Stegostoma tigrinum: one gene and its partners. The protein of the gene in region 1 purifies or fractionates together with the protein of each later gene. This does not show direct contact. Links are inferred from orthologs where the notes say so. Each region holds a gene or a part of one and is shown in the gene's direction. Other genes may lie near its edges.

What was found. Proteins that work in one complex are often made in the same cells at the same time.
Region 2: the proteins of hscb (region 1) and iscua purify together in Homo sapiens (affinity purification with western blotting; 3 studies listed by BioGRID and IntAct, with this or other methods). This does not show direct contact. The link is inferred for Stegostoma tigrinum from reciprocal best matches to the Homo sapiens genes HSCB and ISCU.
Region 3: the proteins of hscb (region 1) and sdhb purify together in Homo sapiens (co-immunoprecipitation; 3 studies listed by BioGRID and IntAct, with this or other methods). This does not show direct contact. The link is inferred for Stegostoma tigrinum from reciprocal best matches to the Homo sapiens genes HSCB and SDHB.

What each region holds. Positions count from the first base shown.
Region 1 is NC_081355.1:6,552,063-6,562,093, reverse strand, and holds hscb (iron-sulfur cluster co-chaperone protein HscB), read left to right. Parts: upstream 1-5,764; 5' UTR 5,765-5,772; coding exon 5,773-6,579; downstream 6,580-10,031. Other genes in the region: protein asteroid homolog 1-like, read left to right, coding at 9,197-10,031.
Region 2 is NC_081379.1:29,047,737-29,059,122, reverse strand, and holds the start of iscua (iron-sulfur cluster assembly enzyme ISCU, mitochondrial), read left to right. Parts: upstream 1-6,517; 5' UTR 6,518-6,601; coding exon 6,602-6,685; intron 6,686-8,999; coding exon 9,000-9,113; intron 9,114-11,199; coding exon 11,200-11,310; intron 11,311-11,386. Other genes in the region: sart3 (squamous cell carcinoma antigen recognized by T-cells 3), read right to left, coding at 916-1,100, 2,426-2,530, 2,831-2,957, 5,850-5,993.
Region 3 is NC_081381.1:32,413,557-32,425,083, reverse strand, and holds the start of sdhb (succinate dehydrogenase [ubiquinone] iron-sulfur subunit, mitochondrial), read left to right. Parts: upstream 1-6,658; 5' UTR 6,659-6,682; coding exon 6,683-6,775; intron 6,776-7,803; coding exon 7,804-7,949; intron 7,950-8,819; coding exon 8,820-8,905; intron 8,906-10,434; coding exon 10,435-10,571; intron 10,572-11,527. UniProt on the Homo sapiens protein: Iron-sulfur protein (IP) subunit of the succinate dehydrogenase complex (mitochondrial respiratory chain complex II), responsible for transferring electrons from succinate to ubiquinone (coenzyme Q).

The sequences.
Region 1 (10,031 bases):
CAAGAAGACCGTCTGCAAACTTTGCAACACTGCCAGGTTTCTGCAGGCTAACAGCGAACTTGGCTCTCCGGACCGGCTAAGCACCACAGGCTACAGCCTTCAGTCTCAACATTACGATAATACTGTCATTCCGCTATTTTATTAGAACAGGAAGTGCTGGGCAGATTTGAAAACATCGATGCAGAGAGAAAAAAAGAGTTCAATTTTCAGGTTAATTTCCTTTCAGCATATTCATGGGAAATCATTGAGTAAATATTCTCAGGAGGCTTTTTTTTGCATATGAGAAATAATTGTTTTCTTTATTTATGTTTCTGTTCTGTGACACTTTGGTGGGCATCATGCTATCTTCTCAGATGCACGGGACAGTCGCTAAACTTTGTTTTTTTAGGGTGATCCAGTTTCAGTATCTCAGACTTGGGGTGATAGGGTGGAGGAGGCGGGGCTGGCAGATGTTTATCATGATGGGGATTGTATAAACTGCTGGGTTCTTTTAAAACATACACCTACCTCTTCACAAGCTAATTTTGCAGCTACAATCTATACTTAAAGATGACCATTAGGCCCTGCCCACCAATAGGTGAATAAACTGGAGGACTAAAAGACACGTTGCAGCTACCAGAAATCAGTTTGAGCTCTATGTCCTTAAAGCTCGCATCCCCAAATCACATTTACCACATAATTTGAGAAACATATGAACACAGAAATTAGGAGCAGAAGTAGGCCATTTAACCCTTTCAGCCTGCCCCACTGTTTAATAGAATCATATGTGATCTGATATTAATCTATGAACAAGCTGGGGGTTATCATATGACCATAAGATCATGAGTAACAAGAACAGGAGAAGGTTGTTCAGCTCCTCAAACCTGCTCTGCCAGTCAATAGGATCATAGCTGATCTGACGGTCCTCAAGTCCACGTTGTTCCATTTTGCAGAATTGACCAGAAACTCAACTGGAGTTGGCATATACATACAGTGGCTACAAAAGCAAGACAAACATCAAGAATACTGCGGTGACTATCTCATCTCCTGACTCCCCAAAACCTGTCCACGATCTACAGGGCACATGTTGGGAGTGTGATAGAATACTCCCCACATGCCTGGCTGAGTGCAGCTCCAACCATTCTCAAGAAGCTCAACATCCTCCAGGACAAAGCAGCCCACTTGCTTGGCATTGCATCCAGCCCCTCCACCACTAGCACTGTGGAGCAGTGGTAAAACTGATGAGACAAGTATGCAGAGAGACATAACTTTTAGATTGTGGTTGATAATTAAAGGAGTTGGATATTTACGATGCTAAATAATCTAGCAGCAGTATGGAGTATTTGAAGGATACACTTCAGAAATTCACCAAAGATCCTTAGACAGCACCTTCCAAGCCCACAGCCACTTCCACCTAAAAGGTTAAGGGAAGGAGATATGTAGGAACACCACCACCTGCAAGTTCCCATCCAACCTACTCACCATCCTAACTTGGAAATGTATCACTGTTCCTTAACTGCCTCCAGGTCAGAATCCTGGAATTCCCTTCCCAAAGTCTTACCTAAGACACATGGATTGCAGTGGTTCAAGGAGGCAACTCACCTTCTCGAGGGCAACCATAGGCCAGCCAGTGATGCTCATGTCCCATGAGTGAATAAAAAATTCCCAACAGCCTCTGATAACCTCTCACTCCCTTGTTCACCAAGAATTTATCTACCTGTGCCTTAAAGCTGTTCAGAGACACTGCTCACAGAATCTTTTAACGAAGAGTTGCAAAGACTGACAACCCTCAAAGAGCAAACATTTTTCTTCATCTTTGTCTTAAATGGGCAACCCCTAGTTTTTACATGGTGACCCCTCCTAGTTCTAGATTTACCCATAAAAGGAAATATCCTTTCCACATCCACCCTGTCAAAACTTCTCAGGATGTTATATTTTACAATTACTCTTACTCTTCTAAACTCCAATGCATAAATGCTAGCCTGTCCAACATTCGCTCAAAAAACAACCCACCTAGAATGTTCCATGTTGCTTACCAGATAATGGCCAAATCACTGCATCACAGGCTTTTATTTTCAGCAATTATTCTTGATTACCAAGGCAATGAAAGATTACTAGGGGTATGCATGAGTGTAGAGTTGAGGTCAAAAGCAGATCTGCCATGATCTTAGAACATAGAAGAGTACAACATAGTACAGGCCCTTCAGCCCACAATGCTGTGCCGACCTATTGTCCTACTAAGATCGTATTGAATGGTGAAGCAACTCAAAAGACTGAGTATCCTACTGCTTTTCCTTGTAAACATGTTTGCAATATTCTTTTACGAGGCCTTCTGGAAATCTAATGCAGCCCATCGATCGGTTGCACTTTACCCACAGCACACATTACTCCTTTAAAGATCTCCTATAAATTAGTTAAACATGATTCCTCTTTCATGAAAACATGTTCTCTCTGTTGATTATCTTGGTGTTTTCTAAATGTCCTGCTATAACATCTTTTAGAACACCTTCTTACATCTTCACTCTTAAGATGATAAGATAACAGGCCTGTAATTTCCTCAGTAGCCACTTCTTTTAAGGCTAGGATGAGGTGTGCCATGACTAGAGATGTGTTAGCATGCAGTTCCAACATTTTGCTCACTATCATTTCCCTAGTGATAGTAATTATGTTTATTTCCTTCCTTCTTCCATCTTCTGATTTGCCACCATTTCTGGGAATCTGTTTTTATCCTCGGTAGTGAAGACCAATGCAAAATATCTGTTCAATTAACCTATCATTTCCTTATTTTCTACTTTTAATACCACAGACCCGCTTTCTATAGGATCAACATTCATGTTGTTAACTCTTTTTATGTCTAAATATTTGCATCTATTCTTAATATCTCTTTTATAATTATAGCTATCTTTCTCTCTTGTCACTTTCCCCTCCTTATTAATCTTTTAGTCATTCTTTGTTGTTTATATTCTGTCCAATCTTCTGATCTTTCCCCCATCTTTCTTTAAGTTTGATACTTTCTTTGACTTTTTTAACTCTCCTCCCCTTGGAATTTTTCACACTCATGGGGTAAAGCTACGCTGTGTATTCTGAAATATTCCCTTAAATATGTTGGATGGACTATGAAGGATGAAGTAATGGGAGCTTGTCAGAAAAGTCAGGTGATAATCATTATATAACAATCTACATAAAGATTAGAAAAGTCAGATGTATAACTGTAGTCCAGGAGTTCATAGAATGTTTTGAGGACAGTTACTTAGAACAAAGAGCAGGCTATAGTGTCTCACTAGATCCCTATTGACTTATCCCTTAACCTAATTTGCCAGTTCATTTTATCTAGATCTGTGTTCATGTCCTTATAATTGCCCTTATTTAGTTTAAAATACTAGTCTTAGACCCTTTCATCTCCCCCCTCAAACTGAATGCAAAATTCATTCACATTATGAGTGCTGCGACCTGCAGACATTTCACAATGAGGTCTTTAGTTAATTTTATCTCATTGCAAATACCAGGTTGAGTATTACAGGCTGTCTGGATTGCTTCAGAATATGCTGTTACAGAGTCAAAGGGGATACATTTCCATGCCATTCAGTTTTCACAATTAAACTAGTCCCATTTGCCTGCGTTTGGTCCATATCACTCCATATTTTTTCCATCCATGTATTTTCCTAAATGTTTTTTAAATGATGAAAATTGTATTTGCTTCCACTACTACATATGGCAGCTGTTCCAAATGCTCACTATCCTCTGTGTGCAAAACCTGCCCCTCTGGACCCTTCTCACCTTAAACCTATTCCCTAGTAGTAGTTTTAGATTCAACTACCATGGGGTAAAGCTGTTGCCTATCTACCTTTAATAAGTCTCTCATGATTTTATAGGCCTTTATAAGTTCGCCCCTCATTCTCTTATACACCAGGAAAAAACATACCAGACTATCCAACCTCTCCATATAACTCAAACCTTTTGGTCCAGGTAGCATCCAAGTAAATCTTTTCCCATCTGATTTTCTACTCCATTCTATTGTGTGGTTACTGATAGGGGTCTTGTACACAACTCCCATACATAACTTCTTGCCTTTAACGTCTATCATTTCGGCTCAAACCACTTTCTATGTGTTGATTTCTTAAATGCAGACTATCCATCTCAGTTGTGCTATTACCATCATTAATTTATAGTATCTCCCTTCTACATTTCCTAACTCCTTGTTCTTCCAGAATGTCCTATAATATTTAATATTCAGGTTGCAATCTGTGTCACCTTGCAACCATCTGTATAACGGCTATCAGATTTTATTTATTTCTACTTGCGCTATCGATTCATCCATTTTGTGACAAATATGTCATGCATTCATATGGTACAGTACATACAGTACCCTCACAGCACCAGGGACCCAGATTTGATTCCACTCTCGAGCTAATGTCTGTGTGGGGTTTGTATCCATGTCTGCATGCGTTTCCTCTGGGTGCTGTGATTTCCTCCTACAGTCCAAAGAAAGGTTCGGTGAATTGGCTATGCTAAATTGCTGCATAGTGTCCAGGGATCTGCAGGCTAGGTGGTTAGCCATGGAGAAAGCAGGGTTACAGCAGTAAGATGGAAGGGTGGGCTGTTCTTCAAAGGAGTGCTGTGGACTTGATGAGCCAAATGGACTGTTTCCACACTCTAGGGATTTTATGATTCAGATGCGGAGTCTTTAGTTTTCTCCTTTTGCCATTTTTATAACCTTATCTGTCGAATTACTGTGAGACACCCACTCGTAATCACTTCCTGTCATGGTCTGTTTTGTCATTTCCCATGTTAATACTTTTCTCTCTTGCCTTGTCTTTACTGATACTCCATCTTCCCAAATTTGATGACTGTGCTAAAATAAGTCTCCAGACTTCAAATTTGAATCACTTTAGATCAGGAAGCTGAGAAGTGGAGAGTGGGGAATGATTCTTTTTGTTGGTGGCGGGGGGGAAAGTACTATATTTTTAGTTTTAGAACAAGATACACTCATCTCAAAAAAACATTAAACCCCTCAAACGAGCCAATTGCTAAGCATTGACAAAGTTTAATAGACAAAAGGAATGGTGGTAAAGAAACAAAAAAGTGAAGAAAAAATGCAAAATGTTAAACATATCATTTATTTTAAAAAATAATCCAAAAAAACCCCATGGAGAGTGAGATATGTGTGTGGGAAGGGTTAAAGAAGAAGAGGTGAAGGGCGTGAGGTATGACAAGGGTGAAAGGATATTGAAAGGGAAGGGAAGAAGATGGGAAAGGAGAAGAATGGATCAGAGGGGGATCAGTTCTGAGGAAGGGTCACCAGATCCGAAATGTTAACTTGGTTTTCTCCTTCACAGATGCTGCCAGACCTGCTGAACTTTTCCAGCAACTTTGTATTTGGATCAGAGGGGGAGAGAGAATTAAGTGAAGTGGAGAAAGGTGGAAGGGGCACGTGGAAGCTGGGGTTGACAGGTAAAGGAAGTGGAGAAAAGTTTGGGAGATGAAAAGGGGAGGATGAGAGGAGTGGGGAAGGGGGAGAGAAGGCAAATGATAGGCAGAAAGGGGCTGAGGGAAGGTGGGAAGGGAAGAGAGAGGGAATTGTGAGGATGAAGGAAGATGTGGGAGTGGAGGGAAGGGGTTTGGGAGGATTGGGGAGGATGAAGAGGAGAAAATAGGAATTGGGAAAGAGAAGGAGCAAAGTTTGAGAAAATGCAGAACGGAAGGTGAGGTCAATTGAGGGATAGATTCCGGAAATGACGTAGAGGAGTGGTGTAAGTGACGTTTCAGCGTGTTGCTGATTGGCTGGTTTGAACGATGTTGTGCAGGCTGTTGTGGCGCGTGGCTCCAACTGTCACCTTCAAGGTGGGGGCCCACTCCTTCGCCCCCGGGACTCAGCTCCCCGTCCCGGCCCGGGGCCTTAGGCAGCCCCCTCGGGCCGCAGCCTGTCTGCTCCTCGCCGCCGGCCGCCGCGCTTTCTGCAGCGGGGCAAGCGGCTGCTGGCGGTGCGGGGCTGAGCGGGCCGGGGCGGCGGCGGCGGAGGAGGACGGCGGCTCGGCCTTTTTCTGCCCGTCCTGCCGGGCCCTGCAGCCCCCGGACCCGCGCCGCGACTACTTCCAGCTGCTGGGCCTCCCGCGCCGCTACCGCCTGCAGACCGAGCAGCTGCGGCGGAGGCTGCGCCATCTCCAGAGGGATCTGCACCCAGACAACTTCAGCCGCGGCTCCGAGGACGAGCGCCGCTTCTCGGAGGAGCAGTCGGCGTTAGTCAACGAGGCTTACGGGACTCTGCTGAGGCCTCTGTCCCGGGGCCTGTACCTCCTGCGGCTGGAGTTACCGGGGGAAGCCGGCGTCGGCGAGGAGGTGGAGAGCGGGCCGGCCGGCGGTGGGGATCCCGCCTTCCTGGCTGCCGTCCTGCACCTCAACGAGCGGCTGGAGGAGGCCCGGGGCCCGGAGGAGATCGAGCAGGTGTCCAAGGAAGTGGAGGCCCGGCTCCGGGAGCTGGACGAGGAGGTGGCCGGGGCCTTCGAAGCGGGACGCCCGCGGGAAGCTCTCCCGCTCCTGAAGCAGATGCGATATTGGAGTAGCCTCGGGGATCGGATAAAGGAGCGTCTGCTTCCCCGTTGAGAGCCTCCCGGGGTACGGTATCGCTTTCTGAAATTAAACCCTAAGGAACCCTTGACCCGTCTTCGCCAGTCACAACTCTTTCCGCATCTGGGCCCAATACACTCTCAGTTACTGCCTTAATATCTCTGTTTCCAGGCCTTGGTATCCCTTACGTGTTGCCCACGATTGCAAAAGGGATGTGTATGAGGTACTACAGTAGTCTTAAAAAAAAAGTGTGGGGTTTTGGTCTCCTTACTCAAGGCAGCGATAGTCATAGAACTGTATTACAGCACAGGAACAGGCCGGACACGACGCCAAATTCAACTGATCCCTTTCTGCCCGCCCTTGGTCCATATGCCTCCATTCCTTGCATAGTTATGTGCTTATTCTAAAGTGCCTCAAAACACCCTAATCATATGTCTCCACCAACACCCCTGGCAGCACGTTTCATACTCCTCCCACTCTTGTATTTTTAAAAGTAAAACTTGCTCCTGACAACTCCTTTGAACTTCCCCATCTCACCTCAAATGCATGCGCGTTTCAAGACTAGGGCAGATTCTGACCATCAACCCTACGAATGCATCTTATAACTTCGTAGACTTTTATCCGGTCTCTTCTCAGCCTCCACTGCTCCAGAGAAAACAACCTGATTTTTTTTCTACCCTCACCTTATAGCTCATACTTGCTAAACCAGGCACCCTTTCCAAGACCCCACATCCTTTCTGTAGTATGATGATGAGAATTGAAAGCAATACTCATAAGTGTGGCTGAACCAAAGTTTTATAAAGCTGTAACATGGCATCCTAACTCTTATACGGGTCCCTAAAGCTGTGAGGCAGTAGTGTTAACCACTGTACCACTCATGGAGGAATCTAGAACTGGGACTGAGTTTCAAAGCAAGGCATAAAACATTTTTTTCTGAGGATTGTTAGTGTTTGGAATGCTACTCCCCTAATGATCAATGGAGGTTTGCTCCTTTAGTTTATTCCAAGAGTAAGTTAAATAGATTTTTGAACAACTGAGCAGAGGACTCGGGTAATAGGCTGGAAAGTAGAATTAAAGAACTAAAGTCTCATGCCTCCATCAATTCTCCATATTCAAATGCATTTCATTCAACTAATACAAGCCCAATATATGTAATCTCTCCATGTAATTTCCCCTGGGTAATTGTCCAGTCAATATTCACTATGTTCCTTTCAAATCCAGTGTATCCTTTTGAAAATGTAGGACCATGAGCTGGACACAGTCTTAAAGATGTGTAACCAACAATGTTAATTGCAATTAAAACGTGAAATTCTCAAATATCAGAATTACAAATCATATATCACAAAACTACATATTTCAACCCTACCACTTGTGAAGTAAGGCATATTTAAATTCTGACATGGCTTTGTCTTTGTAAATTGTTTTCACCTCAGTTGTTTCTGATGCTCTGTTGAGTTTCTGTATCAGTGTCTGATATACTTAATTAGCCAATCTTGATATGTCTGCAGTAAAAGATTCCACAAATTGATCGTCTGAGAGAAAATAAAACTCCTCTTCAGCTCGGTTTTAAATGGGCAACTTCTTTCAACTGTATCTTTTTGAACTATGGAATCCTGACAGTGTGGAAGCAGACAATTTGGCCCATCACATACACACTGAACCTCCAAAGGCCATCCACCCCAGACTCGTACCCTTGCCCAAACTCTGTAACTTGGCATTTCCCATGGCTAATCCATTAGCCTGTGTCTCCCTGGACAGTATGGGGCAGTTTAGCATTGCCAGTTCACCTAACCTGCAAACCTTTTGGACTGTAGAAGGAAACCCATGTAGACAGAGGGCGAATCACTCGAGACATGTAGATCCATGATCACAATGCCTACTGTAACCCATTACAATGAATGAGCTCTCCAGGTATGATCAGGCAATCTATACTGTTATGTATGGCACCATATGGTGGGGCTGAGGTAGACAGGAGTGGTTGCTTTCATGGGAAAAGTGGATATAGTAACATTTTCTTCATTTGTTTAGTCACTGAACTTCATATGAAATTTGACCAATTATGTTACTGATAAAATACACATCTTGCAGTCACCAGGACATTTTCAAGAATGCAAGGGGAAATAACATTTTATACTGTGAGAAGAGAGTTAATTGAATAGCCTGTGGATTCTGGTAGAGGCATTACAGTGGACAGTGCACCAGTTCAGTGATGACTAATAATTAACTATCAAGCTTTGTTTAAAACAGGGCAGATGACTCTTGATTTTTGTTTTAAATTAATTCAGGGGATGTGAGCTTTGGTTGGGCCAGCATTTTATGTTCTTCCTCTAAGTGCCCTTGAGTAGTTTGTGGTGTTACTTGACTGACTGGCTCAGGCATTGTTCTAGGGGATGAGCCAGGTAATGGCTGTTAGTTTTTTAAAACTTGAAACAGATGAGTATGTTGAGTGCAAGATAAAAAGCTTGGGGGGGGGGGGGGGGTGGACACCAAGACTGATGTGTCATTCTAACGAATTACTATATGCATTATTATAGTGAATTTATTCAGTTGTTGAATTAGATTTTGTACCACATAACAATGCTCAGATATGACCTACCAATCCAACCTAACTCCTTGTATTCATTACTCAGGGTGAAGCTTGTTGCTGTCTAACATGGGTGTCCATGGATTGATGACCTACATTGGAGAAAATCATAATTTTTTTAATAATGTCAAGATACAAAATACAAGAATTGTGATCGATGGCAATAGCTTATTTCATAGACTTTACTTTGATTCTGGTCTCGATCTTCAGTATGGAGGTGAATATGATTTGTTGACTGACATCATCTGCAAATTTTTTGAGGCCTTGTCTGTCTGTAATATTGGGCCATATGTGGTGTTTGATGGTGGATGCGATTGCACCGATAAGAAGTTCGAAACTCTCAAACAGCGGGCCAGGGAAAAAATCCAAAAAGCACGTGTCATCTCGAGAGGTGGTGGAGGAATGCTGCTACCGCTGCTGAGCCCTGAAGTTTTTAAACAAGTTTTACTGCAGTTGCAAATACCTTTCGTCCAATGTCATTCAGAAGCAGACCGTGATATTGTAACTCTCGCTAATCAGTGGGCCTGCCCTGTTGTGTCGTTAGACAGCGATTTCTGTATCTTTGATTTGAAGGCTGGTTATTGTCCTCTCAATTACTTTAAGTGGCAAAACATAATTACTCCAAATGACCATTCTGGATCCTACATTTTGGCCCAGTGTTTCTCCATTGACAATTTCTGTAAACATTTTAACCTCGTAAACAAAGCCCTACTGCCTCTGTTTGCAGTGTTGAATGGCAATGATTACGTGAATATACCTCCCTTGGAGACCTTTCTCTCCCAAGTGCATATCAATGCAAAGACATCTTGTTCAGGAAGGAAAAATATGCGGATTCAAGGTCTTCTGAACTGGCTGTCCAAGTTTTCTGATCCAAAGGAGGCTATAGAAAACATTCTTAAATGTC
Region 2 (11,386 bases), on another chromosome or scaffold:
TATCATTAAAACCTTCACTGATTGTTGTAATAACTTTCTGATTCTGTAAGGTTCTTTGTGGAAGGAAATCTGTTCTTTCCTAATTTGGCTTATATTTGACTCTAGATCCACGACAATGTGATTGACTTATAGCTGCCTTCTGAAACGGTGCAATAAGGCACTCAGTTCAAGGGCGACTAAAGACAGGCAGTAAACGCTGACACCTACATCCCATGAAGCAATACAAGAGAAAACCACTGTAACATGGACAAAGTATCTGTACAAGCATCCAAATAAAAAAATTTCATGCCATTCTCTCCACGTAAGTAGATATCACAAACAGACTGGTAAGTTCAGCCGAAAGTTCACCAATGGCAAAAACAAGGTACAGTGCTGCCGTGAGCTTGTGAAGACTGTTTCATCTTTGAGACCCAAATGAAAATCCAGTACAGGTACTGGGGTACAGGACTCCTTTCTATTAGCTAAAAATTAGATTGAATCATCTCAATCTCGTTTCTAATTAGAAAGTATCGGCAAAATAATAATCAAGAATGTGTCAATAAAATCTCACTTTCAGACTGAGAATAACAACTGTCTCAAACAAATTTGTTGCACTGCCACAATTTGATTTATAGTCAAACTGTATAGTTCAAATCAGATTTGGAAATACAAATTGGAAATCATTCCATTCCCTGGTACTGAATTCCCATGGCCAAAACCAACATATTCTCACCGTGTACATTAGGTGGAGAAACCCAAATTTAAGTAGGGTTCAATGAATGAATAAATAGCAAGAAAGAAATGTATATAATCTCAAATATTCTACCGTACCAGCCAATTATTTCTCGTCGGTTTGCATTTTGCTTCATGCACCAAATTGTTGACAAACTTATCATTCATTCACATTAAATTAAACTGGATTTCAGATTCTCTTACCTGTAAGGTTCCTAAAATAGCATTTTCAAATTCTCTAAAGGCTTCCCAGATTGCTACTCCTTTTGTCATATGTAATCCAGCAGCAGTTAAAGCTCGATCAAATATTGCACGAGCTCGCTCAATACCACCCTGCTGACCAATCCCACCGATGGAGTACTGAGCATATTCCAGCCATATCTCAGGACCTGTAATGAAAATTATTTATTAACATTAGTGTGCATCAAAACAGAATTAAAATAATTCATGATTTTTAAAACCAACTCTTCATGTCAGCATCCGATAATAACTTGAGGACTTCTGCATTAATGTGTTGCAAACTCAGCAAACCTAGTGAGTGAATGCGTGCACACGAGAGAGAGAAAGTCGCCGTCAGCATCAGACATCACTTAACTTCACAACAGTAGTAAAACACATTCCCAATGGATGTGGACATAGCAAGGCCTGCAGATGCTAAAGTCAGAGCTAACACAGTGTAAAGCTGAAGGTACACAGCAGAAAATTTTCTGAAGAAAGGTCCTGACCCAATACGTCAACTTTCCTGCTCCTCCGAAGGTGTCTGGCCTGCTGTGTTCCTCCAACTTCACACCGTGGAACTCTTATTCTTGACAGACTTGACTCTGCTGTGGAACAATCTGTATGTCATATTCTATTAGACTCAAAAATTATGTTGTGGGTTAACAGACCATAAATGCTTGTTCACTTACTTCTACTTTTAGAAGAAATGTTAACCCAATTATTCTAAAAAAATTAACACCCTACTAAAATACACCAGAGGGTAACCATTAGCAAACTTAAACACTTTTATCCCATGATATTATTTTCAAGGTCTACGTGGTCATTCATTTTTAAGTCCTGGTGGTTTCCTAACGGAGTTAACAAAGTCCACTGCATTGTGGAGCTGATCGAAATTCTGCTTTCTATCCAGCAGAGAGTGTTTTCTTATCATATAAAATCTTTAGGAATCAATTCACAAAGCTATCTTTGCAGCTTCAACAGCTGAGTGCCAACTACCTGGATACCACCAGTATTTGAAGCTCCTGAAATTGGGCCAGCTTAAACACCTGAACGAACAACAGGGAACATGACCATCACTGTTTTCAATTGTTTCAAATATGGGGAGCTTCATCATGCTGTGGTGCTAGATCATCACTTACAGTTAAGTTAATTACTCAATTTTTGTCTGCTTGGGTTTTTAAATTGCCTAGTCATCAGCGTTGATTTAAAGCTGAGGGTATTTGCAAATGAGAAGAACTAACTTTCAAGATTTCATTATTTGAAATTACATATACTTTTAGTCTTTTGATACATTCACAAATTAATAAACAAAGTCTCTTTCCTCCTTCCCACTTCAATTCACTGGGGGAGCTAGAAAGATTAACACTTTGCCCAGCCAACAGCTACGTTCTACCTGAAGCAGAACAGTGGGGGATATGTTTGTATTCATCAAAGAAAGCTGTGATTACTCAATGTTAAGAGTCAGGCAAACACTAAAGTGTAAAAAAGAGCTTACAAATATAATCTTTGATGGCCTTCTCAAACAGTTCATACACTTTCTCCCTGTCAGTTGATCCCTCTGCCATTAGAATCTCATCCTTTAGCCAGTCCAGCCAAAGCTCTGAAAAACAGAATTGGATTGGTTTCCTCAATATAACTGAGAACAGAACCTTCACAAACAGAACTAGTCAGGATTACGAGAGCTGTGGCTTTAAGGTTGCCATGTCAATAACAGAATGTTCACATGATCAGTTTCGAAGAAACAGGAGAAATTTTTAAAAAAACAGCCAAAATCTTGTGGAAAGTGGATTAATTCAAACTTTTATCAGGATGCTGGTCATAAACATATTACAAAGTCTGATCTGCATTACATTATCAGGTTTCAGCTGGTGTTGCAATTGTCTAACAAGGATAGTCTTACCTTCTGTAAGAGGGAACAGTTCACTCATCTTCTGTCGAGCAGCTCGTAACTTCTCCAGCTCCCCCTCCTGACGCAGCAATTTTATTAGATCGACATGACAGTTGTAATCATAGGCACTTATGGAAAGCTAAAATAAATGGCACAGATTACTGCTGTCCTCATGCCAGTGATTAATATTAGAATACATCTGTCATTTTATTAAACTTTCTAATAGCCAATTGGTTATCAATAAGTCTGCTTCTCAATTTTTAAACTTGTCATTCACATCAGACAAAAATGGGCGTCTATTTAGTCTATGGCAAACCTTGACAACTGTGTTAATGCCACAAAATAAAAACATCAAGCTTCCTGGCCAATGACATAACAAGCATAAAGCCATATGAAACTCAGAAGTAAAATGTTTTAAACAGATAAACAGAGGGTTTAAAAATACCCTTTCATCATCACTTAGTGTGAAATGATACACTATTTTACATTGTTGCATAGAGGACTGCTCTACCATGAAAACCACAATATTCTTCTGTAAAAGTGCAGCCTTATTGCTTTGAGGGCAGCAAGTCTCTGTAAACATGGGAACAAATCGGAGGTAAGATTGACTCTTCAGTGTCTTTTTTCTTCCTACTGAATAATTTTATTTATAATAAATCAGATTTCAGTATTTCACTGAGCATGAAGTACTTCAGTCCACAGAATTGTGGTAATTTCCATAATTGAACATAGTCGCCCAAGTGGAATAAAGTACTTCCACTGCCATAAACGGTATACAATATAAAGAATCGCATTACTGTTCTCCAGAATCTCACTCAGTTTACATATGGAAACTGCTGAGAAAGTTGTTTACATGGAGATATAGCTGGGACACAATACAGCTTCCAGAGCTAAACCGTTCTTAGACGTCCGTGATATCCAACAATTTTCAAATAAATGACCTCACTTGAGATGTTGACGGTGAATCCTGACAGTTTATCTTACACTTTCACTATGTTTGAGTATGATGATCTCATTGCACTGGTGAGAGTTATAAACAGCTTACGTCTGTAATTTGCTAGCAAGAGAACTGACTTAAATATCACACTCATTAAACTGGCCCATCACAACTGGCACTTAAATTTTTCACAATAGCATTGGAAAGGATAAGCAGCAGATTCTTGAGGAACCACAGTGTCCCAAATTTCTGAGATGTGACTTTAGTCTAGATCAAGACTAATTAAAGTTTAGTAATGATCATAGAGTCTTGAGAAATTTAGAAAAAATAGGAGTAGAATTAGGCCAAGATAACAAAATGTGTAGCTGGATGAACACAGCAGGCCCAAGCAGCATCTCAGGAGCACAAAAGCTGACGTTTCGGGCCTAGACCCTTCATCAGAGAGGCTCTCTGTGAAGGGTCTAGGCCCGAAACGTCAGCTTTTGTGCTCCTGAGATGCTGCTTGGCCTGCTGTGTTCATGCAGTTTACACACTTTGTTATCTTGGATTCTCCAGCATCAGCAGTTCCCTTTTACCTCTGAGTATAATTAGGCCATTCAGTCCTTCAAGTCTGATCTGCTTTTCAATATAATAAGAACATATAAGACATAGGAGCAGAAATTAGGCCATTCGGCCCATCGAGTCTGCTCTACCATTCAATCACGGCTGATAATTTCCTCAGCTCCACTCACCTGCTTTCTCCCCGAACCCTTGATCCCCTTGATAATTAAGAACCTATCTATCTCCGTCTTAAATGGACTCAATTACCTAGCAATCATCAATAATGATCATCCTACTCAGTAGTCTGTTCCCACCTTCTCTCCAAACCCTATGATTCTTTAGCCCCAAGAGCTATATCTAACTCCATTTTGAAAACATTCAATGTCTTATCTCTAACAGCTTTCTGTAACAGATAATTCCACAAGCTCACCAGTCTGCATGAGACATTTCTTATCTCAGTCCCTAATGGCATTCTCATATTCCTAAATCGTGACCTCTAGTTTGGATTCCTTTTATCAGAACTATCCTTCCTGCATAAAGCCTGTCTAGTCCTGTCATAATTTTATAGGTTTCTACAAGATTCCAACCTCATACTTGTAAACTCCAATGAAGATTGTCCTAACAAAGCCTTCGTATATCAGTCTTGCTGTCCCGGTGTCAGCCTCGTAAACCTTTGTTGCACTATCTCCAAAGCTGGAACACTATTCCTCAGGTAACAAGATAAAAACTGAACACAATACTCTAGCTTCGCTCTCAGCAAGGCCCAGTACAATTTCAACAAGACATCTTTGTTCCTGCAGTAGGATCCTCTCACTAAGGCGGCCACCTGCTTTCTTCACTGCTACATGTGTATGCTCACTTTCACTGACTTGTGTACAAGGTCACCCATGTCTCTTGGACCTACTCCTTTTCCAGTTACCATTTAGATAATAATCTGCCTTCCTGTTTTTGCTACCAAAGTGGATAATTGCATATATATCCATTATACTCCATAGCTGGATCCAAGCACTAATCCCTGTGGTAACTTACTAGTCACTGGCTGCCAGTGAGATTTATTGTGAGTCAAGGCATATGCTTCAAGTCATTTGGATTTTATTGGTCATGACTTTATCATACATACATAGCTAGAAATTGGGCCATTCATTCAACTCAGCGTGAACCTGAGTACTATGCCCCAGAAAATTATATTTTCTCTCCGTAGATGACCTCAGGCATTTTGCCTTTCTCTTGGCTCTTCGAAGGATTAGTCCTGACTACGTGGTTTTCAAGTGATTTTTCAGATGTTTGTTTTACTTCGGCAATGACGGAAATGTTTTGGTTTACTTATTTCACAACAGTGAACAGGCCAGGCGGACAGGAGTCAGCAGGAGGTCGGAGGAATGGGAGAGGGAACTTCGGGGTGAGTGGGGAGGGGTCGAGAGTGCGTGGTAGAGGTGGGATGAGGGCGAAAGGGCTGGGAGAGTAAGTGGGACTGGGACGGGGCTGGGGGAAGGGGGAGCTCGTGCTGAAGTTTTAAATCCCGCGGGCTCACTCCCGCCCGCCATCACGTCGCACCTGCTCTTCCAAACGCTGGATTTCCGCCTCGTTTTCTTGCTCGTCCTCCGAAGAGTCTTCCATTTCTTCCTCCGAGTCGCCCCCGGTTCCAACCTCCAATTCCTCAGCCTCACTCGACCGTCGCCTCCCGATAGTCGCCATCATGCGCAGCAGTGCGGGAAAGGCCGAGACGCCCGATCAAATAGAACACTTCACATCCTGAGAAACACAACTACTTCTTATAGAACAATTCCTTATTTTAATAGAAGCTTCAGTTTGAAGTACAATTCCACGCATTACAGCGGGAGCTGTTTTAAACAGAAATTTTCGGGAGAATATGGGACAAATGGATGTAATATTTACAACATAACAACGCGACATGTGGGCTTTAATGAAACTGACGATTGCATATGACGAAAGCGGGGTACGAATTGTCACCATATTGGTAAGGCCGCGATGCAGAGCGCGTCGCGATGTTTTGTTTACCTTCCAGAGCGGTTTTCAGTTGGTAACGCAACCACGCAAGGGGCGTGCCCAGCCAGCCACATGGTCACGTAAGGGGCGTGGTAAACAAAACAACATAGGGACACGTTTGTTAGTGGCGCGTTGCTCACTCGTCAATGCGTCCCGTGGGGAGGGCGTGGTCAGTGCATGACATAACCACGCGGGGGCGTGGTCAGTCTTACGTAACAGCACTTGTTGGAGGGGGTGTCAGTGTTGGTGACGTCGGGCGGTGAAGTAGGAGGTTGTGACGCACTCGGCTATTGGTAGTGATGGCGGCGGTTATAATTACTGGTTCTCTCTCGCGGCTTGTGCTGAAGGCTCGGGCACCCCTCGTCGCTGCTTATCACAAAAAGGTAACTGCGCTTGGGAATGGTAGCAGCCTTTACTCTGCGCCTGGTCCCGAGGCTGTCCACGTTGGGGTGGGCCAGGGGAGTCCGCAAATTCCCACTGTAGTGAATGTAATTTAATCTAATCTATTCAAAACGGCAGGTAGGAGGCTGTTAGCTAATGAGAGCACCGTCTGGTGATGAGGGTGATCTTACATATGCCGTGTGGCATGAGCGTTTCTAACACTTAGTCTCTAAGGATACAAAAAGTGTTGTGGCTGCAGTTAAGAGGGTGTGCAGGGGAAAGTGGAGTGGTGGGTAAAGAAGGAATGCCTGTAAAAGTAAAGCAGAATGGCTACTAGAAACGTGAAACAGAGTGAGAAAATGCTGGCAAAACACAGCAAGTCTGGCACCGTCCGTCGAACGAGAAAGTTTTCTCAATGCCTCCGGTCCATTATAACCGAATCAGCGTGTGTACCACGCTGTAGACAAATGGGATGTTGGAGTGAGTGTGACAGATGGCGAGGATACCAGAACAGAAGGCAAAAGAGTGTATTAACGGTGCCAAAGAAGACATTGAGACTTGAAAGAGGTGCGCAAAGAAGAAAATGCGTCTGCTCTGCTGACAGCAAAGTTGACAAGATGCAAAGTGCCAGAGTTTGGGTGGTGTGCTGTAATCGAAACAGAGGAAAGATGGCATGCCCTGGAGGGATTGAACTCAATGTTGTGGAGGCTGTTGCTTTTTGGAATGGGAATTGAGATGCTGTTCCTCCAGCTTGTGCTAAGGTTTGATGGAACACTGCAGCTAGCCTAGGACAAAAATGCTCAATGACAGCGAGATAGTTGAAATAGCAAGCAACTGGGACATAATTCATTCTTACAAAGTGAAGGTATTCTGCAAGCCATTTGTCTGTTTTGTGTTTGGCCTCAACAATGTGAGTAGCAAGTGATAGATTACATGCAAAGTAGTACAAGCAAACTACTTCCTCACCTGGAATGTGTACTTAGGGCTGTGAACAGTGAGGAGGTCAAGTGATATGTAATCTCTAATTGTATAGAAATATGCCATAGAGGTGAGGAAGTGTCAGAAGTGAAGTAGAGAAATAGATCAGGGTGTCTCAGAGAATCAGTAGTGGGGAATGGAAAAATGTTTGGTATTGTGGTTGAAGGAAAAAAAACATTTCAAAGGCAACCCTGTCAACACTTGATGGAGAAACTTGGAAAATGGAATGCTGTCCTTGTACAAGGAAGTGTAGCCAAGCATTTTGGGTTTTCTGAAGAAGGGGTCTAGACCCAAAATGTCAGCTTTGCTGCTTGGCTTGCTGTGTTCATCCAACTGTACACTTTGTTATCTGAGATTCTTCAGCATCAGTTCCAAATACAACTGTCTAGAGTTGATGGGTTTGTAGTGGATACTGGTGGGCACCCTATCCCCAGAAATGGGAATAGAAGACCAGGAAGAGTCAGAAGTGGACCTCGTGGAAGTGAAAAGGATAGAAATTGAGGGATTGTATATTCATTGTGAAGGGGTGGCAGCTAGGGCCAAAAAAAACAAATTGTGGAGCCAATGTAAAGCATCAGAAGAGTCACGTGTATATGGGAAGAAAGTGAATAAGAGGAAAATAAGAAATATGTGGATCAGCGAGAAGACTGAAATTGTGGATCTGTCCAAGCAGCCTATTTTGTGGATTTTGGGAAGAAGGTTGTAGCAGGCTGTGCAGGGTTGGGGATAATGAGGTGGGAAGTAGTAATGGGGATAGGTCCCAACATCATCTGTGGAAACCTATGATTAGCGATGGGGTCGTAGTCCAGATGGAAAGGGTGGAGGGGGTGTGGCGGCAGCGTGAGCGTGTGGTGTTGAGGAGAGGCAGGGGGCATGGGCATGTGGTGTTGAGGAGAAGCAGGGGGTGTAGGCATGCAGTGGTGATGAGAGGAAGTTGTAATTGAATTTATAAAGTATTTTGGGCAGCAGTGCTGTACAGCTGGTGAAATATTCTTCATGTCTAGTCCAGATTGTATGCAATGCAACAGCCAATTTGCACATTACAAATAAAACTTCAGCAAAGAGCTGTATGGTCTTATGACCAAATTATCTCTGGATAGATTCTGACCAGAACTGTGGAGGTAATGCGGTGGAATCTTTTCCACCCACCTGATAGGGCAGACTGATGTCTTTCAAATGACGACAGTTCCGACAGCGCTGCGTTCTGTCGGTCCTGAACTAGACTATAGGCTTGGTCTTTCTTTGTGCTTAATGAAACTTGAACACAGTTTTGAAATCAGAAGCTAGAGTTCTATTGAGTCATCATGACTTGCACTATTGTATTTCCTTCTACCGTAGGTAGTGGACCACTATGAGAATCCCAGAAATGTTGGATCCTTGGATAAGAATGCAAAAAATGTTGGAACTGGCCTGGTTGGTGCACCGGCTTGTGGTGATGTCATGAAACTACAGGTAAAGTTTTTTGAGGTGATCCAGGATATGGGTAGCAATGTATTTAAATGTAACATTATCAATTGAGCCATTATGTCCCTTTTTAATTTATTTAGCAAAGTTGAAGGGCTGCGTATAATGGTTCAGTTTGCTTCCCAAAGGTAAGATATGGGTCACCATTTCAGAGAGCTCTTTGGATGAATGAGCTGTTCTCAGTCCAGCAGTTGGCTTCAGTGCCATAGTTAGATGAATTAAATTTAGAGCTCAACTTTTGATCAGTGATCCAGAGAAGTTTGCGTTTAAACGTAGCATGTTCTTCAAACCTGTAAAGCTATTAATGTCTATGGAGCCATCTCCTCAAGCATTGGCACGTTCAAGTGAGGGGAGACAGACAGACAGAAAACTGAATAGCATAGCACACCAGAAATCATGCATATTTTTTTTAAAAGTTCCCCAAACTTAATAGGGTATTTCTAGAAGTATAAACTTCCTACGAAGGGAAAGCTGGTTTCCATACTAACATCCAATAATAGCTACAGCTAATAGAAACTTGTACTGTCCTAGGAGATATAAAATGAACATAGTTGTTGAATTACCTGTATCCTGGTTGCTTGGATCCAGTGATATCTCAAAACAAATCGCTAACAGTTTGTCGTCAAATGGTTTGGAGAATTTGCAGATTGACTGAGTTGTAGCTGACATGATATTGACAGAAGTGAGCACCTACAAAGGTCTGACTCGGGATTGTCCAACTTTTTCTTGAGTAATCAGATTTCAAATTCTTTTCTCTCTCAAGGACTGAATGCATATTTCAGAAAGATATGATTTGGCACAACATGAAACATACTTAGACATTGAAAAAAAATTAAAGTAATTATAATTCAAACAGAAAAAACTAAGTGGCAATCTAAGTACCAAGCAGCAGAAGGAACCAACTAAACCTGAGCTGGAGGCAGACAGAATCCCTAATTCTCAATCATCGCAGTGGATCGAAACTGATTTAGGTTTAACTAAAACTGACCTTGTTTTTGCTTCTGCCAAGTACTGAGCTGATGTTGGCAGAATTCATGTGAAGCAGGGGCTTGAAAGTGTGCTGTTTAAGTCTGAGACTTTTTTATTCCTCTAGTCTTGTGAATAGCTTTTTATAAAGCAGGGAGGAAACTTGTACATGTATCCAGCTCCCCATCTAGGAATTCTCATTCTCTTGTATGCCAATGCAAACATGTACTCCCTCTCAGTTCCTCAGTCCTTCCCACCCACTGTTGATTGTCCTGGCCCCCACTTTGAGCCTTGCCCTAAGCTATTATACCATGGGGTTGGAATTTGGGGATGCCTGTGAAAATGATAGGACTCATGTCCTATTCTGCAGAGCCTTGGACTCTACCAGCCCAAGTAAGTGTGCGCTGTTGCTGAAACTCTATTCCCTTGTAACCTCAAAAGCACACTTTTCTATCTTGACTCCTGTGTCCTTTAATAGGGCTAACATCTCAGCAATAGGCTGAGTGTATAGTACCAAGGACGGTGATGAAGTGAGAGCGCTTGGGCCGAATGTGGAATGTATGTCAGCAACATTGGGTGCGTATGGAGAGAGTGAGCTTATGACCCATGGGCTGACATGGATGTGCTTATATACATGCATATATTTCAGAGAAGGTTTGCTTTTTTCTAGTCAGAATTGCATTCTTAGTGTTTGGCTTCATTGAACACTTAACCAGAGCGTGGTTCCTTCATGAACTTCAATCCTGTTTCATCTTGTTTGACTGAAGTTCCTCAGTATTTTTTAGTGATCTGCCACTTCCTAATTATGCTGCACATATTTCTAGCCAATTTGTCCTGAAAGATCAGGATCACATTGAGAGCAAATGGTAACTCCTCCTCCTGCCCCCCCCCCCCCCCCCCCCGACTCTCTCTTTGGAGGATATGACCAGCCTGTTGCATTGTCCTGTGGAAACTGGAAGGACGTGTGTGGCTGCTGTTTCTCCTCTGTCATCTAGTAGTTTCAGTTTGGATTATGCTGCAATTCTGCCTGGTTAATAATCAAATGATGTCAATTTTGTGATAGATTATAACTGTTACAACTTGTTTGCATTTTGACTATCTTCTGTAGATTGAAGTGGATGAAAATGGGAAAATTATTGATGCAAGATTTAAAACATTTGGCTGTGGATCGGCAATTGCATCTAGCTCACTGGCTACAGAATGGGTGAAAGGGAAAACGGTAAGGATAGTAATGATCTCTGAAGTACTTTAATGAAAATATCACATGGGATCAGTCCTAAAATGATGACTTTAAA
Region 3 (11,527 bases), on another chromosome or scaffold:
TGCAAATCCATAAGAGATATTTTTAACCAGCCTGTTCAGAGATGTTATTACACACCTTTGGAGCAGGTGGCACTTGAACTCTGGTCTCCTGGCTCAGAGTTAGGGACATTACCACTTCGGTACATTTATCCTTGCAAACGCAGATCCCCAATGGGGTCACTGCCCCTTTAAGAGTTATGAAACGAAGCGGACGGCGTAAAGCGCAAGCGTCATTCGGCAGATTTCTTTTGTTGACACTCGCCGGTCGCCTTACATAACCGGGAGTGCCGGTTTCGTCTTCGGATTCTGTCCTTTCGCCCGAAGCCGGTTTCACTTTGTGGGAATACAGCGTTGGCGTTTGCGACTCGCTTACGGATCGGTTTGTTGTATTTCTTCAGACTCCCCCGGAAGATGGCGGCGATGTGCCTGAGGCGTAGCGGGGCCTGGGGTCAGTGGCGGGCGCTCCGTCTCCAGGTGAGGGAGGGTGGCGGCGCGAGCGGTATCCACTGAGGGAATGACATCTGACCTTGGTGCCGGGTCCTCGCGCAGCCCCCGCCCGCACCGCACGAGGAAGTGGCGGTTGGTGCGCGCGGCCTCAATGTGGTGGCCGCTGTGTAAAGGTCATCGGCGGCGGCATCGAAATCGTGGCGACCTGGTCAGAGTTAGGGTTTATTCCTATGATTTAGGTACTTGAAACCCCAAGGCTGACAGTCCAGTGCAGTGCTGGGGAAGTGCAGCACGGTCAGATGTGTCGTCTTTTGGATAAGACGTTGAGATCGTAGCTGCCTGACTTGTTAAAGGTACTACGGCACTATTATGAAAACTAAAAACAGCAGTGTCCGGTCAATCTCTCTTCCTCAATCGGCGTCACAATAATCAAAATATAATCTAATTGTTAACGACATTGTAACTCCTTAGAATATATATAGGCGGAATACGCAGAAGGGCTTAGACCATGAGACATTGGAGCAGATTAGGCTATTCCGCCCATCGATTCCTCTCTGCCATTCGATCATGGCTGATTTGTTTCTCAACCCCATTCTCCTGCTTTTCTCCCTTGACCACCTTACCGGTCAAGAACTTATCTATCTATTTTAAACACCCTCAATGAATTGGCCTCCACAGTTCTCTGCAATAATGACTTCCACAGATTAATCACCCACAGGTGGAGGGAAGCCCTCCTCGTCTCAATTCTAAAGGATCGTATGTTTACTCCAGAGGTCAGGTCATAGTCTGTTCAACTAGTGGAAACATCTTCTCCATGTCCAGTCTGTCCACGTCATTCTGTATTCTTTGAGTTCTGGTTGAAACTTACCCATTCTATTAACTTTCGAGTACAGACCCAGCTCCTTGTATGTCAAGCCTGTCATCCCTGGGATCATTGTCATACACCTCGTGTGGACACCCTCCCATGCCAGCACATCCCTTCCTTAGAAACACAGGCTTAAACTAGTCAGATTAGTCCAAATGCTGCATGACCAGAGCCTTCAATTGGGTCAGCAGTACATTTCTTTTCTAGCCCTCTTGAAATGAATGCCAATATTGCATTTGCATTCCTAACTGACAACTGAACCTGCATTTTAATGTTAAGCATTGTAGTTCAGGATTTTCCTCCGGTTTCTGAAGCCTTTCCCTATTTAGAAAATAGCCTATGCTTTTATCTTTCCTGTCAAATTGCATAACCTCAACTTTCTGACATTGTATTTAAATCTGCTGCTTCTTTGACCACTCTCCTAGCCTGTCCAAGCCCTGCTACAGCCACCCCGCTTCCTTATCATTACTTGTCCCTCCAGATATCTTTGTGTTATCTGCAAACCTACCAACAATGCCATCCGTTCCCTTGTTCAGCTTGTTAATGTACAGCAGTCTTTGTTTTAACTGGAACCTTATGAACTGGCACTTTGGATAAACTGGCAAAAATTATATGCTCAAATACTGAAAGTTTATTTATTATCATGATGTCTGAATAGCCATTTGAGGACACGAGTGAGAAGGTTGCTAGTAAGTTTTATTTAAGGCAAAGTTATTATTATTTAAGTGATTTATGCTGTAAATAAAGAATAACAGTGGTGTGTATACTCCCTGCATTGCATTTCCATTAGCTAGTGTGTGCTTTTATATTTATTGCGTGGATCTCTTGATCAAATATTCCAGTTGAGCCACTACTGCCGGTTAATTAAAAGGTTGCTGTATAATGTTGTGGTCCCAACCTGGGCCCCTGCAGAACTCCACTAGTTACTGGCTGACATCCTGAAAAAGACACCTTTATCCGAACTGTCTGCCTTCTGCCAGTCAGCCAATCATCTATCCACACTAGTACCTTGCCCCTAACACACAGGCACTTATCTTGTTTAGCAGCCACCTATGCAGCACCTTGTCAAAAGCTTGCTGGCAATCCAAATAGATCATATCCAAAGGCTGTCCTTTGTCTAACTGCTCCTTACTTCTCAAAGAATTCTAACAGATTTGTCAGGCATGACCTCCCCTTGTCAAAGTTGTACTGACTTAGCCCAATTTTACATGCATTTCCAAGTCAGGAATCTTATCATCAGCAATATCATCTTTTGTACTGGATTCTCAGATCTTCTCAGTGGCTGAGATCAGGCTAACTGCCAATGCTTTCCTGTTGTTTGCTTCCTTTCTTAAACATAGGAATTACATTAACCATTTTCCAGTACTTTGAGAGTCTCCCTGGCTGCAGTGATTCCTGAATGATCACCACAAATGCCACTGCAATCTCCTTCAGATCTCTGGGGTGTAGTCTATCTGGTCCAGATGATTTATCAACCTTGCAGCTTCCTCAGTATTTTCTCCTTGGTGGTGACTACTAAACTCACTTGGGTACTGACTCTTGAAGTTTTGGTATGCCACTGGTTTCTTCCCTGATCAAAACTGATGCAAAGTATCTGTTCACTTCCTCCACCATTTCTTTGTTCCCCATTACCACTTCTCTGGCCTCATTTGCCAGGTCTCCACTTTCCACTCTTGTCTCTTACAGTTTAGATTTCTAAAACAAATTCTTGTAATCTTACTCTCATATTTCATCTTCTCTTGCCTCCTTCCTGCCACCCCCATATTGCTTTTACAGTTGGCTCTGCTGGTTTTTAAAAGTCCCCCCAATCATGTTCATCTAATTGTGTACTTTTTGTTTTGCTTTTAATCTGTCCCTGATGTCTCTTGTCAGCCATAGTTGCCTTGTCCTCCCCTTAGTCCTTTTCTTCCTTGGGATGAATTTTTGCTATGTCTCCCAAATTACTACCAGAAACTCCTGCCCTTGCTGCTCTGCTGTCTACCCTACTCGACTGCCCTTCCAATCAACTCCAGCCAGCTCCTCCCTCATCTCTATAGTTATCTATACTCAATTGTAATACAATTATGTCTGATTCCAGCTTCTCCTCCTCAAACTGCAGGGTGAATTCTATCATATAATGGTCACTACCTCCCCAGGAGTTCCTTACCTTTAGCTCCTAAATCAAGTTTGCCTCATTACACATAACCAAATCCAGAATTGCCTGCTCCATAGTAGGCTGTACCACAAGTTGCTCCAAAAAAAATCTCATAGACGTTCCTGGAATTCCTTTTCTTGAGATCTGCCACCAATCTGATTTTTTTTTCCAGTCCACCTGCACACAAGTTCCCTGTGATTATTATAATACAGTTTTTCTTACATGTCTTTTCCATCTTCTGATTTATTTTCTTCCCCACATCCTGACTGCTAGCAGCCCTGTACGTGACTCCTTTCAGCTGGGGTGAGAGTGGGGCGTTCCTTTTGTATTTCCTCACTCTACTACCCAGATCTATGACGCTTCTTGCTATTGATTTTGATTTTATTTGTTACTAACAAGGCAACCTCGCCCCATCTGCCTGCCCTTTCGATAGTGCCATGTACCTTTGGATATTTAGTTCCCAGCCCTGACTACCTTGCATCCCTGTGATACCCACAACAATGTCCTGCCAATTTTGATTGCACTCTTGAGTTCATTTAGATTATTTTGTATGCTGTGTGCATTTAAGTTGGCACCCTCAGTCCTGAGTTGACTGCCTCCCTCTCATAGTTGTCCCCTCACCTGCTGTGCCCAAAATTAAGATTCCTGACTCTTTCCATACACCGTCCTGATGCACATTTTGGAAACTGTAATAACCTCTGCTGAGACCCCCTCCCGCCTTCCAACTTTTAACTCTTTCCATAATTTTCCATCCAACTGAACCCATCCCCCCCACTATTTAAAACCTTATTAATAGCCCTAACTATGCAATTTGCCAGCAGAGCCAACTCTAGTTGTTGCTGGAAAGTACTACATGCATGGTTTAGAGTGACAGTCTTCTCTTGTTGCCTTATCGTGGATCTGCTAAACGTTATCACAAATTTCATGACAAAATATAAGAATCTTGAATTCCTCTTTGAAAGTGGCAAGCTCATTGAATTATTGAGCTAGAATATGATTTTAAGCAGCTGGATATGCACAGCATGAATTGCCTAATTCTTCCCACCCCACCCTGTCCTGAAGAACAGTCACAGGATTCAAACTGTTAACACTCCTCTTTCTCTTCGCATAATGCTGTTGGACTTGCTGAGTTCCTCCAGTAATCTGTTATTGTACCACCAATTTAAAGCCCCCCGAAACTTTCCTCATCGGTCATTGAATGAGACGGCCACCATCAAATTTGTACCCACGTTTTCTGTTAACGGAATCGGACCCATTAGTCCAACTCATGCATGCTGACCAATTTACCCAAACTAAACTAGCCCCACTTGCCTGTATTTGACCATATCCCTCTTAACCTTCCCAATTTGTGCACCTGTCCAAATGTCTTTTAAATGGATGTGAGTTTGCTCGCTGGGCTGGAAGGTTCGTTTTCAGACGTTTCATCACCATTCTAGGTAACATCATCAGTGAGCCTCCAATGAAGCGCTGGTGTTATGTCCCGCTTTCTGTTTATCTGGTTAGGTTTCCTTGGGATAAATAGAATCTTCCTTGGGATTAACCAGATAAATAGAAAGCGGGACATAACACCAGCGCTTCGTCGGAGGCTCACTGATGATGTTACCTAGAATGGTGATGAAACGTCTGAAAACAAACCTTCCAGCTCAGCGAGCAAACTCACATCCAGAACCTCAACCTGAGCTGCGAATCTTCTCAAAACTCGCTGTCTTTTAAATGTTGTTACTCTACCTGCATCTTCCACTTCCTGTGGCAGTTTACTCCAGATGCAAACCACTGTCTGTGTGGAAAAAGTTGCCCCTCAGGTCCCTTTTAAATCTTCCTCCTCTCTCCTTGAAAATATGTTTCCTAGTTTCAAATTCCCTCACCCTACGAAAAAAAACTTTTGCTATTCACCTTGTCTATGCCCATCGTGATTTTATAAACTTCTATCATGTTACCCCTAATCTCTACGCTCCAGTGAAAAATGGCATAACATATTCAGTCTGTCCTTTATAACTCAAATCCTCCAGACCCAGCATCATCCTGGTAAATATTTTCTGCACCCTCTCCAATTTAATAATACCCTTCTTATAGCAGGGTGACCAGAACTGTACACAGTACTCAAGTGGCCTCACCAACATCTTGTACAAAACACATGACATCCCTGTACCCAGTGGTCTGAGCAAGGAAGGCAAGCATGCGAAACGCCGTCTTAACTACCTGTGATGCAACTCAGAATTATCTACCTGAACCCCTAGGTTTTTGTTCAACAACACTACCCAGGACCCTACCATTAACTGTATAAGTCCAGCCCTTCTTCGTTTTACCAAAATGCAAAACCTTGTATTTATGCAAATTAAAACCCACCTCCACTGCTCAACTCTTTTGGTGCAATGGATCAAAATCCCTTTTGTAATCTTAGAAAACCTTCTTCACTGTTGACTATCCCATCCAATTTTGGTGTTATCTGCAAACTTTCTAACTCTGCCTCAAATTCTCATCCCAAATCATTCATACTAATGACAGACAACAGTAAACCCAGCACTGAGTCCTGTGAAACACCGCTAGTCACAGGCCTCCAGTGCAAAAAAAAAAGCCCTCCTCCACCACCCCCTCTCTCCTAATATCAAGCAAATTTTCTATCTAGTTGTCAAGCTGTCCTTGAATCCCAAGTGTTCCAACTTTACTAATCGGTCTACTCTGCAAAACCTAGTTAGTAAAGTTCACATAGACAACATCCACTGCACTGTTGTGATCAATCTTTTTGGTTATGCCCACAAAAACCTTAATCAAATTTGTGAGACACAATTTCCCAAGCACAAAGCTACGCTGACTATCCCTAGTCAGTCCTTGCCTCTCCAAACACATGTAAATGCGATTTCTCAGGATCCCCTCCAACATTTACCGATGTCAGACTTACAGCTATGTAGTTCCCAGGCTTCTCATGTTTGTTGTCAATCACACAGCTGAAGGAGTTCTATATATCCAGCCCCTTATTGCAACATGAATGAAAGGTCTCCGGTAATGACTGCTCCTCTTGGGCATTGCCAGCTGCTGCCCCAAGCTTTAATGCCTCCCTTAGGACGTAGCTCTGGACTTTGGAATGAGCCAAATTGCAGAGGACAATTTTTTTGAATTGGAAGACCAATGCATTTCGGGCAGACTAAAGAGCTTCTTTCACCGAGTCAGTGATCCTCCAAGTGCTATTGATGTTCTTGGTGTACATTCCAGAGAACAGTCTGTGGAGCACTGGGTCTTTCATTGTGGAGCTGGTTAGGATGAACCTCAAAAGCAGCCAAATCTCCATCCGATCACACCTTCTACTGTGTACAGTTCTGATCATACCTAAGGAAGAATATACTTGCCTGAGAGTGAGTACACTGAAATTTCTTACATGAGGGAATTGTCCTAAGGAGTAATTAAGTAATAGACCTCTGTGGCCTAATGTTTAGAAGGGTGAGAGTTATATAAATGTAACACAAAAGGGACTTGATGGTGTATATGCTGGGAGGATAGTTCCCTTTGTGAGGTGGCCAGAACCAGGAGTGATAGTCTCAGAGTAAGGAATTAGCCATTTAGGATTGAGATAAAGGAGAAATTATCCACTCTTGGCATTATTATTCTTTTTAACTCTCTACTGCAGATGTCCAATCACTGAGGTATTCAAGACAGTTTGATCCATTTTTTTGGTATTCTGGGACTTGGATGGATGGTGCTGGAAGGTGGAGCAGAGATAGATCGGCCATGATCTTACTGAAGCTGGCACAGAGACCCAGCAGCCTACTGCTATTTATATTTCATAAATTTCTCAAACCAAAAACAATGCTTTACTGACAATGCCTGTGTCTCTGTCCTTGACTGGCTCCTTGGGCTGAGCGGGAAACGTAAAGCCTTGCAGATTACTTGACTTTTATGATCTTGGGGCTATCTAGTTATTGTAACCTATTGGTTAAACCATTCCTTTGAGTGAATGCTACCCATATAATTGTGTTTAAAAAGCAACTTCAATAAAATTCATTTAAAATGATTTTCTGAAGAAGGGTCCTAACCCAAACATCAGCTTTCCTGCTCCTCTGATGCTGCCTGGCCTGCTATGTTGCTCCAGCTTTGGCAGTTCTTACTATCTCTCAATAAAATTCGTTATTCTTTTATAAAAATGTAGCTAGTCTGATACACAAATGATCACAAAATCTCCCCATCTAATTAATTAGAGTATTTTTTGTAGTCCTTGTTCCTGTGATATTAGCGACTTGTCATATCTCTGTTACCCATCTAGACGAATCTTTTTGGATACATTTTTTCCATTGTGAACTTTGACTTGGTGTACAAGGGAAATTTGATTGTGTATCGTTTGGAATACGATTCATGGATTGATCATTGGCTTTCTGTTCCCTTGCAGTCATCTCGCAGCTCACAGGCAGCGGCAGCTACTGCTCCTGCAGCACAAGCAGTGTCTCGCCTTAAAAAGTTTGCGATTTACAGGTGGAATCCAGATAAGCCTGGTGACAAGCCTCGAATGCAAACCTATGAGATTGATCTAAATGCGTAAGTGTTCCAAGGGGAAATGCTACAGGGTATGCATTTGATCGCACTGGTCAGACTTTTACTGATTTAAATTTTACTGCAGTATGCCCTCTTTATTATAGTACTACTTCGGATAGAAGGATTTTGATTGATTGTTTTCAAGCAGAGGTAAAATGGTGAAGTGCAGTGATGAAATTGGAAAAGACCTGCTGACCTGTCAGGCCCACACCTCGGTAGTCCATAAGCACACTCTCCCAAGTGTAGTTAAACTTGGGAGTAAGATGAATGACCAGAGCAAAAACTACTAAGATCTCGAAACACTCTGGCTCCCCCGTGCCATTGGCAACACTTTGAGAAATGGGTCTAATATTACAGTCTATGTTCATTTCCTGATTATTTGTAATCTGGGAACTTTCCCCTCTTCCAGCAACAAAGGAGTAGCTGTCTTCCTTATAGTCCTTCTGTTTTACTTCTGTATTCACCTAAAAGTCTCATTACAGCAAAGATTGAACAGATGTTTTCTGGAAATGTATTCAGTGTGTGAAACTTTCTCAGTCCTACACCTGTCTATCTCTGGCATCTTCTACTTACTTCACCAAACAACTCTTGTGTTTCTGGCCTTTTACGATGTAAACTTTCAAATTTCCCTCCTGCAACATTGTTGACAATCCAACTCTTGCTCCTTTATTTAAGATGGACTTAAAACTTGGCTGTTTGAAGAATTGATCAGAATCCTAATATCTTCTTTGATTCAGACTTTGTGTTAGTCTGTTTAAGCTGCTGTGAAGTGCTTTGGGACTTGTAACTATACTAAAGATAATATACAAATACAATCTGCATTTGAGAGAATTGAAACTGATATTTCAAACTGTTGTGACACTACATATGTAGATGTGGTCCGATGGTACTAGACGCTCTTATCAAGATCAAGAATGAAGTGGACTCCACACTGACATTCCGAAGATCTTGCAGGGAAGGTGAGTGGTATTGTATATGAGTGATATAGTGACAGTGACAGATCAATGTCTGCATTTCTGATGAATCATTACAGTCTCGCATCTGTGAACATTAGTCAGGCATTAAGTGAGGTAAGAGTGTATATATCCAGATGTTTGTCCCATTTTTAAACTAGCCATCACTATAATTATGTGCCTAGATGTGGAGAGTGACAGAAAACCTTTTTATCACTGACCAGTAAATCTCAGACATTTGCAATGCCACTGTGGTGTCACCAGCTGTTTCAATGTTCCTTTGAAGGTTGTAGTTTCTTCTTGAAAGTATCCAAGCATGAATTGGTATTTATGACTGGCTTTTACTGTCACTGCCTATGCCTGCATCCACAAGGCTCAAATGTCCAATGAGTCTGCAACCAAGAATTTATTTTGTCGTTTCTTCATTGTTAGCCAGTGCTGTGGGATCACAACTGCTGGCTCTGTGACAGACGGACATGACCATCTTTGGAGTTTGTATGTCACTGAGAATCTATGACAATCATTTTATAAAGCAAAATTTTGAAAAATTGTAATCTATTATGTGCAAGGATTATGACACAGTCAAAATCAGACCTAGCTTATTGTCAAGCGAATTTAATGATGTCCATGTAATTTAAAAAAATGAAGGGTCACAGATCAGAGAAACTAAGGCAGCAACATTTTGGGAAAGGATGGTAATACTTTTCAAATGCTTGGAAGTGGGAAATGCTAGGATTGTGGAGGATCTTCTAAATTTGGCAACAGCATTAAATTCACCAGAATTTATTATTTATTTTGCTTTGACTCATCCAGCAGCTGGACATATTGAATGCTGGATGCTGTGTGTGTATGAAAGGCAACATTTTAAGATAACAGTCATGGACTACTTAGGACAGTTCTAAATTTGTAGGACATATTTGGGAGGTGAGAGGTGGATTGTCTCACAAGAAAAGGGGCAAGTGATTTGCACCAGGTTTGCTTGTGCTGGACGAGCACTTGTCTGCCAGATTGGCAATTTTTGCCTCTCTTAAACTGGCTCATGGAAACCTCTGTCGGAGACATTAAATCTAAATCACTGACAAATATTACTCATAATAAAGTGAAGCTGTGAGGTTCAAATTTTCAGTGTACCTCTTGGTGTGCAATACTCATTCAATCCAAAACATGTGTGATTAAAACAAAGTAGGCAGGTGACTGTCTGGTTTCCTCATTTGAGCCCTGCCGTTTGTCTTGTCTGGGACAGAGTGTTGAAATTCCATCCATTAGTCACTGCTGTAGTGGTCATGCTAATACTTGTGTTTCTGGGGTGAATTTAATGTTATCCAGCTTTACTATAATCTACTCCGTCCTTTTCCATTTCATAGTTTGATTTTCTTTAATGCAAATACTGATTAAACTTGCCAGTCACTCCTAGTGATTAATTAGAGTGACTGCTTGTACGTTTAATTTAAACTAAACAATACTGTGCATATTAGGAGTTTCTGTGAAAATAATCAAAAAACATGATCAACTGTACATAAATATTCTATTTTCAGGAATATGTGGTTCCTGTGCCATGAACATCAATGGCAGCAATACGTTGGCTTGCACCTGCAAAATTGACAGCAATCTTAGCAAAGTGACAAAGATTTACCCTCTACCTCATATGTACGTGGTGAAGGATCTTGTTCCAGTGAGTTCCCACTTTCCCCTTTTTGTTTATTGTCTCCGTATCCATGCAGGTGCATTCTGTACTTTTTGTTACATAGAACAGTACAGCACAGAACAGGCCCTTCAGCCCACAATGTTGTGCCGACCATTGATCCTCATGTATGCACCCTCAAATTTCTGTGACCATATGCATGTCCAGCAGTCTCTTAAATGTCCCCAATGACCTTGCTTCCACAACTGCTGCTGGCAACGCATTCCATGCTCTCACAACTCTGTGTAAAGAACCCGCCTCTGACATCCCCTCTATACTTTCCTCCAACCAGCTTAAAACTATGACCCCTCCTGTTAGCCTTTTCTGCCCTGGGAAATAGTCTCTGGCTATCAACTCTATCTATGCCTCTCATTATCTTGTATACTTCAATTAGGTCCCCTCTCCTCCTCCTTTTCTCCAATGAAAAAAGTCCGAGCTCAGTCAACCTCTCTTCATAAGATAAGCTCTCCAGTCCAGGCAGCATCCTGGTAAACCTCCTCTGAACCCTCTCCAAAGCATCCACATCTTTCCTATAATAGGGCGACCAGAACTGGACGCAGTATTCCAAGTGCGGTCTAACCAAAGTTTTATAGAGCTGCAACAAGATCTCACAACTCTTAAACTCAATCCCACTGTTAATGAAAGCCAAAACACCATAAGCTTTCTTAACAACCCTGTCCACTTGGGTGGCCATTTTAAGGGATCTATGTATCTGCACACCAAAATCCATCTGTTCCTCCACACTGCCAAGAATCCTATCCTGAATCCTATCCTTAATCCTGTACTCGGCTTTCAAATTCGACCTTCCAAAATGCATCATCTCGCATTTATCCAGGTTGAACTCCATCTGCCACCTCTCAGCCCATCTCTGCATCCTGTCAATGTCCCGCTGCAGCCTACAACAGCCCTCTATACTGTCGACACCTCCAACCTTCGTGTCGTCTGCA